2 linked regions of the Caenorhabditis elegans genome follow. The protein of the gene in region 1 purifies or fractionates together with the protein of each later gene. This does not show direct contact. Each region holds a gene or a part of one and is shown on either strand. Other genes may lie near its edges.

The links.
Region 2: the proteins of rha-2 (region 1) and bud-31 fractionate together in Caenorhabditis elegans (co-fractionation; one large-scale study listed by BioGRID). This does not show direct contact.

The regions. Positions count from the first base shown.
Region 1 is NC_003281.10:8,609,381-8,616,781, forward strand, and holds rha-2 (Putative ATP-dependent RNA helicase rha-2), read right to left. Parts: upstream 5,190-7,401; 5' UTR 5,177-5,189; coding exon 5,104-5,176; intron 5,061-5,103; coding exon 4,903-5,060; intron 4,840-4,902; coding exon 4,742-4,839; intron 4,695-4,741; coding exon 4,397-4,694; intron 4,333-4,396; coding exon 3,917-4,332; intron 3,845-3,916; coding exon 3,680-3,844; intron 3,634-3,679; coding exon 3,156-3,633; intron 3,107-3,155; coding exon 2,934-3,106; intron 2,891-2,933; coding exon 2,388-2,890; intron 2,324-2,387; coding exon 2,148-2,323; intron 2,066-2,147; coding exon 1,893-2,065; intron 1,824-1,892; coding exon 1,259-1,823; intron 855-1,258; coding exon 684-854; 3' UTR 502-683; downstream 1-501. Other genes in the region: C06E1.9 (ASCC2 family CUE domain-containing protein), read right to left, coding at 1-392; C06E1.11 (uncharacterized protein), read right to left, coding at 6,069-6,457, 6,515-6,830. UniProt on the Caenorhabditis elegans protein: Probable ATP-binding RNA helicase.
Region 2 is NC_003281.10:9,693,894-9,698,292, reverse strand, and holds bud-31 (Protein BUD31 homolog), read left to right. Parts: upstream 1-1,775; 5' UTR 1,776-2,170; intron 2,171-2,942; 5' UTR 2,943-2,948; coding exon 2,949-3,035; intron 3,036-3,085; coding exon 3,086-3,159; intron 3,160-3,205; coding exon 3,206-3,488; 3' UTR 3,489-3,625; downstream 3,626-4,399. Other genes in the region: set-3 (SET domain-containing protein 3), read left to right, coding at 3,722-3,936. UniProt on the Caenorhabditis elegans protein: Involved in pre-mRNA splicing process.

The sequences.
Region 1 (7,401 bases):
TCTTCCGTAATTGATCGACTTTCTTGTGTCATTTTGAAAATTCTTGTCGCATCTTCATCTTCCAACAATGAGAACAAATCAATAAGACTATTTTTCTGAAAGTCCGGACTCTTTTTCCATCCATTTTCCAATAAAACTGGCACGGTTTTCGTCAAATTTTCTAGTAAATTTCGGTGAGCTGATTCCCACGATGTTTTCGATGAAATCGCCGAGAATCTGAAGGAATCCGATTTTCTTGGTAGTGATGCGACAACAGAGTTGAATATTTCCATGAGACCTCCTTCCTTTCGAGCTAATTTCAGAGATATTTGATGGGAAATTGTTTCACAACTAGCTTCCCATAGAACTAGATCCGAATCGGCAGAAAGTGCTCCAATTTCTACTAGACGCATTTTTTGAATAACTGAAAAATTGAGTTTAATAAATAAATTGAAAAAAATGAAAGTATTTGAAACGAATTTCCAAGACGACTTAAAACAAATGGAACTTTAAAAAATGTTTAATTGATCTTTTTATATTTTTTCACTAAAACAATAAAAACAACAACGCAAATATTTTTCAAAAAAAAAAAAGAAGTTCAAAAGCAACAGTAACAAGTAAAATATGTATAACAATTCAGATACTAATGAAAAAAAAAAAACAAAAAAAAATAATATTTTCAGGATAGAAAAACGAGAATTTGTTTAGTATTTCTTGTTTCTACCCATTTTAATAGTCTTTTCATGATCTTCAAGCGGTGGCCACATAAGGGAAATTTGTTGATGCACGGATTCTGGAACCCATTCCAAATATTCTTCCAGCAACCAATTCTCATTTTTCAACCATTGCTCTTTCAGTGATGATCGCGTTGTTACCTGGAAAAGGAAATCTAAAAAACAAAAACAATGTTTTCGAAAAAAAAAATTGTTTTCGATTTTCTGGTGTTTTTTTTTTCAGAAAAAATGAATTTATTTTTATTTTTCAATTTTAGAAAGATTTAGGAATCTACAAAAAGGTTTTTAATCGTTTTTTTTTCATAGAAGACAAACATTTTGAAATTGAAAATTAAATATAACCCAGACGATAAATAAATTATTTTTTAAAAAATAGAAAAATGGCTTGAAAATTTTGAAATTATTTTTGCAGAAAATCGAGCAGTCGAGTAAAAGAAAAATTTGAAAACTGTAGACATTTTGTACATTTTTCTATATATTTTTTAAATTTCAGTTTTTTGAAAGAAAAAGCTGAAATATTTGATCTGAAATTCTGTACTGCTTACCTCCTTCTCGATTAACTTATTCAACAACATCTCCGTTCGTTTCTGCAATTTTGCCCAAGACTTGACCATTGTTGATGGCGGTGCTAGTAGCTTCGGAGTATATTCTTTGAGTTTTTCAAAAACCAATCCATCGAGGAGGAATAGTGCAAAATATCTATACATCATGATATCATGTGGTACACTTCGATTTTCGTTCGGCAATTCCCAATTCAACGGTCCAAATGTCACTTTCACTGTTTTCACAACCATATCTTTGACTGGATCGTAAATCGGTTCCTGATTCTTGTCCTGTTCTCCATAATTGCAATATGATTCAGCCAATCTACTGAGCCATTCTTTATCAACTGCACACACTGACGTCATCAGCTTCTTCTCATTTACTTGAACCAATTCTTGATAGATCACAAATTCTGGTTCTTCTGTGAATACGACTGAGCATGGATCAATGAAAACGTGTCCCTTGATTAATGTCGTCTCGTATGCACCTTTTTGAACTTCTTCTTGTCCGACAGAACGATCGACGCGACGAGCCAGGCGATCAGAAAAACTTGCAACAACCATTTGTCTGAAATTCATAAAGTTGTTTTCTATAGTGGGCACTTTTCTCAATGTTTAATTTTAAAAAAGTAAATACCTGAGAAGCTGTGCCTGTTGATCAGTTGGTGGCGGCAGATCTGAATCCAACGCAGCCGCATGTTCTTTTTTACAAGAAGCATTAACAATATTTGTGAGTTGCTGACGTAGTTTTCTTGCTTCAACCAGTGCTTTCACTCGGAGACCGACTTTTTCGCACTCACGGGCGTTATACTGAAATGATCACAATGTTACGGGATATTTCGCAATATTAGAAAAATAGTGAAAATTAATATGTTTGCACATCCAGATGTACCTTTATCTGCTCGGCAACGCTAGCTGCATGCATGAGAACTTTTAGATCACCTAATCGTCTGGCACCAGTATGTGAACACCATCTTCTTCTTTCTTTCAGAACATTCTTCATCAATTCTTTTGTTTCTTCTGGCGTGTCGCCACGGAGGGATGATACTGGGATTAGGGGCTCACGAACTGAAAAATGCATATGATACAAATATTATAAATTAACACTTAAAATATTAAAAATAAATCTAACCTGATAGTAATGAAATTAGAAGAATCGCATGACTCATCAAATTATGCTGATCGGCCATAGCAATGAATTTTGCATAAGACGGTGCCAGTGGGAACACTGCCAATGTTTTTCCGAGTTTCGTGATTCTTGCTTCCGTTTTTCCATTTTTCGTGCTCTCAGAAAGTGCTCCAAGTCGGCACAGACGCTTCTCAGCCGATTCCAACATTTGCTCATCAGGAGCTGATGGGAATGGAAAATTGACAACTTTAACAATATTCATCGATTTTAGATGGAGTACTAGCTGATCGGCAGGCTTCGAGAGAATCTCAGGATCTGCGAATTTCACAAAATCTTGGTATACAGCTGAAGAGTAGAGACGATAGGCGTGTCCTGCAGAGATTCTTCCAGCACGTCCCGCTCGCTGATCACCAGATGCTTGAGAAATTCGACAAACTGCAAAACGTGACACTCCGGTGATTGAATCGTAGAGACGACGCTTCTCGAAACCTCCGTCAATAACGTATCTGGAAATTAGCTTTTTTATTCTATAAATTATTTATCTCTTACTTCACGCCTGGAATAGTCAATGAAGTTTCAGCAACATTTGTAGAAATAACGCAAAGACGCATTCCAGCCGGAGTTTCATCAAACACTCTTCTCTGTTTTCCCATTGAGAGTAATGAGTACAAAGGTAAGCAGTAAAGTGGTTCACAGTCAGCAGGTGGAGCTCCAATCGAGTTCTAAAATATAAATTTTTGGATTAAAATTCTATACTTTTCTAAAAATTACCTCAACTTTTCCATCGGATAAATCTCCATCCCCATTCTCAAATTCTTCATAATCATCAAACGCCTCAGCAGCACCTCTTTCATTCATATCATCTCCATCCATTAATCCATCATCTACATCTTCAAAATCTTCAGTTTCCGGTGTTTCTTCTTTAAAATCTTCTAACTTGATACTTTTGGCAGCTTCTACCTTCTTTTCCTTCCATTCTTTGGTTCCTTTAACTAGAACCTCTCCGTTTTTATCAGTCTCATAAACCACCGGATATCGTTTTTTCAGCTTTGTAATCAGCTGTTTAACTTCATGTTGTCCTGTAACAAAGACTAGAATGGCACCCGGTGGTAGAGTTTCATGAATTCGACACGTTTTTCGGAATGCAGATGCAATATAATCATCGGGAGTTCGTTTTTCGAAATGTACGGAGACAGGGAATTGTCGGGCGTCAACTTTGATAACTTTTGGAGTTAAAAGAGGGAAGAGCCTAAATTTTGAATAAAGTTTAATTGGAATTCGCTTCAGAATCTCACTTTTTATGCGTGAAATCATCAAGTCTCAGTGTTGCAGACATGATTACTAATCTCAACGGACGGGCGGTTTTGGAACGAAGTGGAACAATTCTTGACAGCATACCGATTAACACGTCACTGTACATTGAGCGTTCGTGGGCTTCATCGATGAGAATTACAGAGTATCTGGAAAATAATGAACGTTTAATGTTCAGCGAGAAATCTGAATGGAGATTTTTTCAAAATTAAAAATCAAACTTTTTCAGCATGACATCCTGTTCCATTTCCTTCATCAACACTCCATCCGTCATGAATAAAATATTTGTTGTTTCTGATCGAGTTCCTTCATATCTGATTTGATAGGAAACTTCGTCGGGCTTTGCCAATTCAACTCCAACTCTCTGAGCCATTGCAATTGCTGCGACACGTCGAGGTTCGGTGATTCCAATGAGTTCGCCTTCTGATGCATATCCAGCTTCGTAAAGGAATTGTGGAATTTGGGTGGTCTTTCCGGATCCAGTCTCTCCGCAGACTACTGTCACCAAATTCTCATTGATAGCTTCGACAATTCGCATTTCTTCGGCAAAAATTGGAAGTTCGGCACGGGATTTTTGAATTTCTTTGCTTCTCTCAACAATAACTTTCTTTCGATTAATGACTGTCGTAGTTGGGAGCTGAAAAAATAGACAATCTTCCTATTTCATTTTATTTTCATTTTATTTCATTTTATTAACTAACCGCCAAAATATCCTCATTATCAGACTCTTCATCATCTTCCCGTTTTACTACAATCTGATCTAAATTAGTTTCTGGATTTCCATCAATTGCCTCATCAACATCATCCAAGTCAATTGGTTCAATTTTAACTTCAACTGTATTTCCGGCATCTTCAATATCATTATCGCCTTCTTCTTCTTCTTCTTCTTCTTCAGAAGATGATTCATCATCAGTTGGATAATAATCTTGCTGAGTTCGTTTAGCTTCAGTTTTAGTTTTGCCAGAGAAAACTTTTAATTTTTCTGGAAATACGGGAGCTCTGAAAATTGAATTTTGCTTTTTTTATGTGATAGAAAAATATCGTACTTTTCTGGCTCTTTAGAAAGTTTTGTGCTGGAACTTAGTTGGCAGAGCTTAGAAGGATCTAGTTGAAATTCAGCAAGTCCTGCGAATAGTTCTTCTTGCTGTAAATTGGAAAATTATAGTTTTTTTTTTGAATACTTCAAATACAAAAATAATTCACTAACCGTTTGCTTCAGCGCTTTCCTTGACTGAACCGCCGCAAGTTTTCGTTTCGCCTGCTTCGTCAGCTTGGCAACCTCTTTTTCTTTCGCGAAATTTCTATTCTTCTTTCCACCAGTTGCAGATTTTTCTCCAGATTTTTCCAATTTCTTACGCTTCTCGCCTGAAAGTAAATGTAAGCGATAAATTAATTTTCGATTAAATACCCGGCACAATCATCAACTCGTTCGCGTCGTAGTCTTCCGAAGCATTATCTTCTTTTGTTTTGCGTTTTCCCATGTTTTTAAATTCTGTAATAATGAAAAAATAACATTTTCTGGCTCGAAGCGTGGTTATAAACAAATTCAGAAAGAAAAATAATATGAAAAATGAGCGAAAAATTCAGTAAAATGAGTTTAATGCAAGTGCGCTCTATCGAAATTGAAAATGTTTTAATGGCGGAGATTTGAATAAAGGTTTTCAGTGTAGCAAATTTTAATAAATTTCAATGTATTTGGAACATCTGTATTTCAATGTATTTGGAACATCTGTATAGTTTTTGACATGTTTCACATGTAGTTCTGTACGAATCATATTCTGCTTGATCCATAACAGCTTCTGCTGCTTTACCACTACCATATCCACCACCAACTCCACCTGTGATACCACCCACAATCCCTCCAACAATAGTTCCAATTCCTGGACAAATTGCAGTTCCAATTGCAGCACCTTAAAATATTCAGCTTCTTCAAAATTTCAGATTTAAATGGAAAGAACACCTGCAAGTGCTCCACCAAATCCAATACCGTACGTGGCTACTGTAGTGGTCACTTTCTTAACAGTATTCCTACTTGTCCCTCTCCTTTTATCTTTTTCCACGTTTTTCCCAATTTGATAAGCATCGTATTCAACTGCAGCAACTTGTAAAACTGGAGCAGCTTGCGCGATCGTTGTGAGACCCTCTCCGCCAATTGTTCCAGCTGTTTGAGCTCCAGCTGATGATATGTGAACTGCTGCACCAGCTGGATCTTGAGTTAACTAAATTGTTTCTGTGAGCATTGTTAATAATTGTTCCATACCATGTTCCCTTCATCTTCTTTCTTTTTCTTTTTTCTCTTTTTATTTCTCTCATTTGAATTTTCATCTGCACTTCTTGCCATTTCAATTTGAGTGTTTGTTTTCTAGAAATAATTTATTTATGATTCAAAATCTTGTTGAGACACGCGAAAATGTGAAGATAATAATAACAAAGGTAAGAATTAAATGCATAATTTGAAGTTTGAGATGGACTTTGAATCTTTTCCGCCAAAATTGCACATAATTTGGTAGCAGCGTCGTTGCTCAGAACAATTTGAAGTTGGCAGCTACAAACTCCTTGTGCTTCTTCGTACTTCTTCCAATCATAATCTTTTCCACATTCTTTACAGGTTAACGTTGTGACATCATATTTCACGTGAGTTAGAATTTGTTCTGAAGCTGTCTCGGCAACATGTCCACCGAATAATCCCCCGGCAATTCCACCAATGATTCCTCCGAAAATCGTTCCAATACCAGGAAAGATTGCCGATCCGATGGAACTTCCTGTAATAAAGTTTTTGTAAAAAATTCTACTGAATCTTTTAAAATTACAACACTTACCGGCCAATGCTGCAGCAGATGCACTTGCATAAGTTGTCGCCGTGGTTGCCACTGTTTTTATAGTATTTCGTGTGGTTCCGTGATGATAATCCTTCTTAACCTCTTTTCCAACTTGATACATTTCGTAAATCACAGCGGCAGTCGTCAAAATTGGAGCAATTTTATTTGCTTTCTCAGCAACATCTCCAAGAACTCCAGCAGTTTTGGCAGTGGAGAGATAGGAAGATGTGGATCCTTGAGTCCAGTAACTGCCTTGTTGATGTTGATGTGATGGAAATCCACTTTTCCATGAGGGCGATCGAATCTGATCCACCATTTCGGATTTCCGCGAGAAGATATTTTAGTTTTGTCGAAAATGTTCAAAATATTTGATTTTCTACCCGAGGTTTTAATCAAATATTTGACCGCATTTCTTCTTATTGCAGTGACGCCTCCTTTTATTCCATATTCAGTCGGATTATTCAGAAAATTTGAGTATTCAATTTTAACAAAGAAAAAAAGGTATATGTTCAACTTTTATAATTCTTCTTAAAAAAAGATTCCTTTTTAGAAAAGGAGATTTTAAAACTCACCGATTTACCACTTTGATCATTTGTTGTGGGTTTCCCTTTATTGTCGTTTGAACTACTCATATTTCTGGAAAATGTAAATTTAGCAAAAATAATGTGCACAAAATTGAAAAGTGTTCGCAGACCGAAAATCGAAAGTTGCTATTTTATTTAGGCTGAGCTAATAGACGTTGTCCAAAAGGATTACACACTATTGTTTCTCACATTTCGTCGTCTCCGTTCTTCAGATCGCCGATAATTATCGATTATTCTCTCACGTGTAAATATTTTCAGGAAATATTTGGCACACCACACTATTAATGAAATGTCAATTTAAAC
Region 2 (4,399 bases), 1.1 Mb from region 1:
ATCACTGAAACATGATTATTAACTAGGAAAGTAACACGATGGACAATAAATAACGACAGGGCAAAATGGGCGGGGCCTAGAGGGCAACGTTGTTTCATTGACTGCTTTCACACACATACACACACTAATCGATACAAATCATAAGGAACATACGGCCAACAATGCCATCTCCTCCTGCGTCACAGAAACCCACACTTCTTCTCTTTTGATCGAGGAATGAAAAAGTAGAAGAGACGACGCAAAAAAAATCGAAAACAACGACTCTTGGGGCGGTAGACAAAATGAACTATATGTGCTTGTTTTTGCATGAGACTCTTCACTAACTGTGTTCGTGGCGAGACCTGCGCGCGCGCGAAACTATGCGATTTGAAATTGTGGTACTGTAGAGTTAGCGAATGAAAATTTTTGAGAGGAAAACTACGGAGTATTTCGAAAAGAAGAAGAGAACAGTGAAAACGAAACTCTTTTTTAAAAAAAAAGCGAAGCAAGTTTTTTTTTTCAAAAAATGCATGTCGAATCTAAAACTACAATCAAATTATAATACACTTCCAATAGAAAAAAATTTGTATCGGCGATGGGTGATGGATCGTAGAAACAAAAAAAATACATTTTTTGAAAAAAAAAGGCGCCAAATCATCTTGTGTCGTGTATAAATGTGAATTGGGAGAGTAGGAGGCAAAGGCCTAGTGGGAGACAAAAAACAGAGAGCGTGACGAGCGAAGAGACGATGATCAACGAAGGTTATACATTGCAATCGGCCATCATTTAGCAAGTGAGCGCAAGTGAACGAGAGACGATAGATGAAGAAGCGAAGAATAGGCGCAGACGGAGTTGCAGCAGCATCCAAGTAGCCATTCAGGACCGGACGACCGCAACAGGAGGCAAGAGACATCATGCTCCGTACGGACGGTGCAGATAGACGAGATGGAAAAGTTAGAGACTGCTCTGATTTCAGAGAATAATGCACTACTACTACCCTATTTTTTTCTCAATGCCAACTTTTTTGCTCGATTCTATGTTTTTTTTTGTATATTCTTTTATAGACGGTTCGAGGAAGAAACTTTTTAAAAATTTGTAAAAACCTATAATTCCAAAAAATGATACACAATGAAACTAATTTATGTAAACGTATTAGCTCCGCCCATTTTATAGATGTGACTGACCTTGAAAGCGACTCCAATATTTTGAAAAATGGCGGGAAAAATATTTGAATGCTTTTTTGTACCCAGTACCGAGTGCCGCCATAATTTCAAGGACGCGTGTGACGTCACATTAAAAAAAATCTACTTATCTGTGAGCCCTGAAGAAATTTAAAAATGGAGGAGTGTGACATGTGACTTTGCTTTTAAAACAATTAGTCTCAGATTCACTATCAGAAACAACGAAAAAAAGTAGAGAAAGATTGAAAAATCCAACTTTTAAAAAACCGATTTTTTAAAAAGATTTCGGCGAATTGTTCGAATTCGCTTTAAAATGAGAACCGCAAAGCGAAAGTTGGATCTTTCTTGATTTTTTTGTGGAATTTCGAAATTTTAGATCATTTTGAGTCCATTACTAAAACTAAAAATTCACTTCTCAAATAAGAAAGTAATAAATATTAAACTTCATACATTAAAACTGCATCTGACACCGAACAACGCGCAATACAATTAAAGTGCATTAAAACTGTATTTGATACCTAAGAATGCGTAATATAGTGTAAACGGACCCTATTCGAGCTGATGATATTCATGAATCTTAAAATATAGAAATCACAAAGCCTCACACATTTTTAGAAAATAACGCATCAACACAAGAGCACATACGGCAAACAAACGATAAAGTGGCAAAGAGAGGGAGGAAAGAGAGCAACCCTTCGGAATTGACCTTTGTTAGACTCAATAAACCTACCAGATGCATCATAATTAGCAGATTACTAACGGAGCACGCGGATATGATGGAGAAATTAAAAATCGAAGATTGAAAATATAGTTAGGAAAGGAAAGGCTTTCTCGTTCAAATTCAAGTTATTATTTTAAAAATTCAGGCCTAAATTCAAATATTCGTTTGACCTTCTATCCTAAAAACTAATCCGGCTCCGAATAAACAGCTCGCTCGGCCTTCAAAATTTCAAGGACGCGTGTGACGTCACGATTTTCGAAAACATCGCTGTATAATTTTAATATCAACGGTGAGGCAAATTTAAAAGTAACGATCTAGTAACTGCCAATTTTCTATTGAAGAAAATAATTCTTGATAAAGAATCATTCGGAAAATCAATAAAAGAGAAAAAAAGTGGCGGCTTGTACTTGCTATAATGGCTGGACACCGTTCTACTCACGGAGAGACCCTCCTGTGCATACAATAAGCGATAGTTCACGAGTTGACTTAGTTTGTTGCGGTTTGATAACATATTGGCTAGCATTTACCTCGTTTAGCTATTTGAACAAACAAGAATTAGTTTTAAAGTACTAAATGGTTGAAGAATTCGAATTGCCGGGGGAAGTCAAAGCTTTGGATCGAAAGTTAAAGTCAATTTCAGAAAGTGCGTGAAGATTGCTGATTATTTCAGTAAATCCGATAATTAATCTAATTCATAATTAGAAAGAAATTAATTAAATCAAAAGAATCCATACGAAACGTCGAGAAAAATAAAAAGAAAATGAAAAAACAATTTTTAGAGGAAACAATTTCAAATTCTGCACTCTACACCACATTTGACGCACAATGCTCGTCCGGTGTGGTGTTTGCGTACCAAATTTCATTTCGAAAAATATGTTTATTTTTGAGGCTTTTTTTTGTGTTTTCAGGTTAATTTCTCTCGATTTTAAAGGGCAAAAGAATCAATTTTAGATTCCTATCGAACTTAATACTTTCCGTATATATTTGTTCACATAATTATTCAATTCCTTCCCATTGTTTCCTTTCGTTTTGTTCATTTCTCATTAGATTTTCATTTTCAGCTCAAAATGTCACTGGCCACTAAACTACGAAGAGTTCGAAAGTCTCCACCAGAGGGATGGGATTTGATCGAGCCCACACTAGAACAGTTCGAAGTGAGTCTTCTTTTAACTTCGGACAACTTTTTCAAAAATATATATTTCAGGCGAAAATGCGTGAAGCCGAAACAGAACCACACGAAGGAAAGCGAAAAACTGAAATTAACTGGCCGATTTTCAGGTATTAATAACCATTAATTGATTTAAATTTGTACCTTTTTCTTCAGAATTCATCACCAACGATCACGATACGTCTATGACATGTACTACAAGAAAGCTGAAATTTCCCGTGAATTGTACGAATTCTGCTTAACCGCCAAGTTCGCTGACGCAGCACTTATCGCGAAATGGAAGAAGCAAGGATACGAGAACCTGTGTTGCGTTAAATGTGTGAATACTCGAGACAGTAATTTCGGCACTGCGTGCATCTGTCGAGTTCCAAAAAGCAAACTTGATGCGGAGCGTGTTATCGAATGCGTTCATTGTGGATGTCATGGTTGCTCTGGATGATCTCTATTTTTATATACTCTCATATCAAGGTTTTGTGAATCCCCCGTTCCCTGAACTTTTTTATTTATTCTTTTTTTTTTCTTCTTAAAATACATAACGTTCTCACTGAAATTGAAATAAAGAATTGGAAGGCTGAATAACGATTCTTAAAATGATTTTTTTTAAAGTTTCTTGTCTTCTTTCATACTTTAAAAATCTGCTTCAACCGTTAATATCCCGATATAATTCACAGAATGGTGGAAGTTCCGTCTTTTCGGTCAAATGAACATTTCCCACAGCTCTGCGACAAAGTCACGGTCAAATGGGACAAAAAACGTGGAAGATTTGTAGAAGCAATCGAAGATATTCCTATTGGAACTGTTGTCTGTGTGGAAACGGGAATCACCGTGAACGTTGATCCACAAAATTGTTATCGATGTCTGAAAATAACCGAAAATGCGTCATTTGCGTAAGTAGCTCGTCGTGAAAATTGCAACTTAACATTTCTCTCCAGAAGCAAAATTTTGCAATTTATCGGTCTCGACACGACAAATTGTTGTGAAATTTGAAAATATATGCGCCGTCAAGTCTCAATATACTAAATATAACAGTTTCAATCAATTTTGGAAAAAAAATTGGCTCAATCCTTTTTGAATTTCCGCGCAAATTAATGATCTGGTGTTGATAATTTTTTTATTACAAATTTTTCAGACATCCTTTCGTAAAGAAACTTGGCAACCAGAAGGAGATTTGCTGAAATTCTAAAATTGCATTAAAACCGATAATTCATAATTTTTTTCGCGAAAAAAAGTGGAAAAAACATAAATTATTATAGCCGAAAAACTCAAAAATTGCGCGGAAATTCTAAATTAATCAAGCTCTTTTAATATTTTTTTTTGCAAAATTCAAAAAAAATCACAAAAGTAATTTGT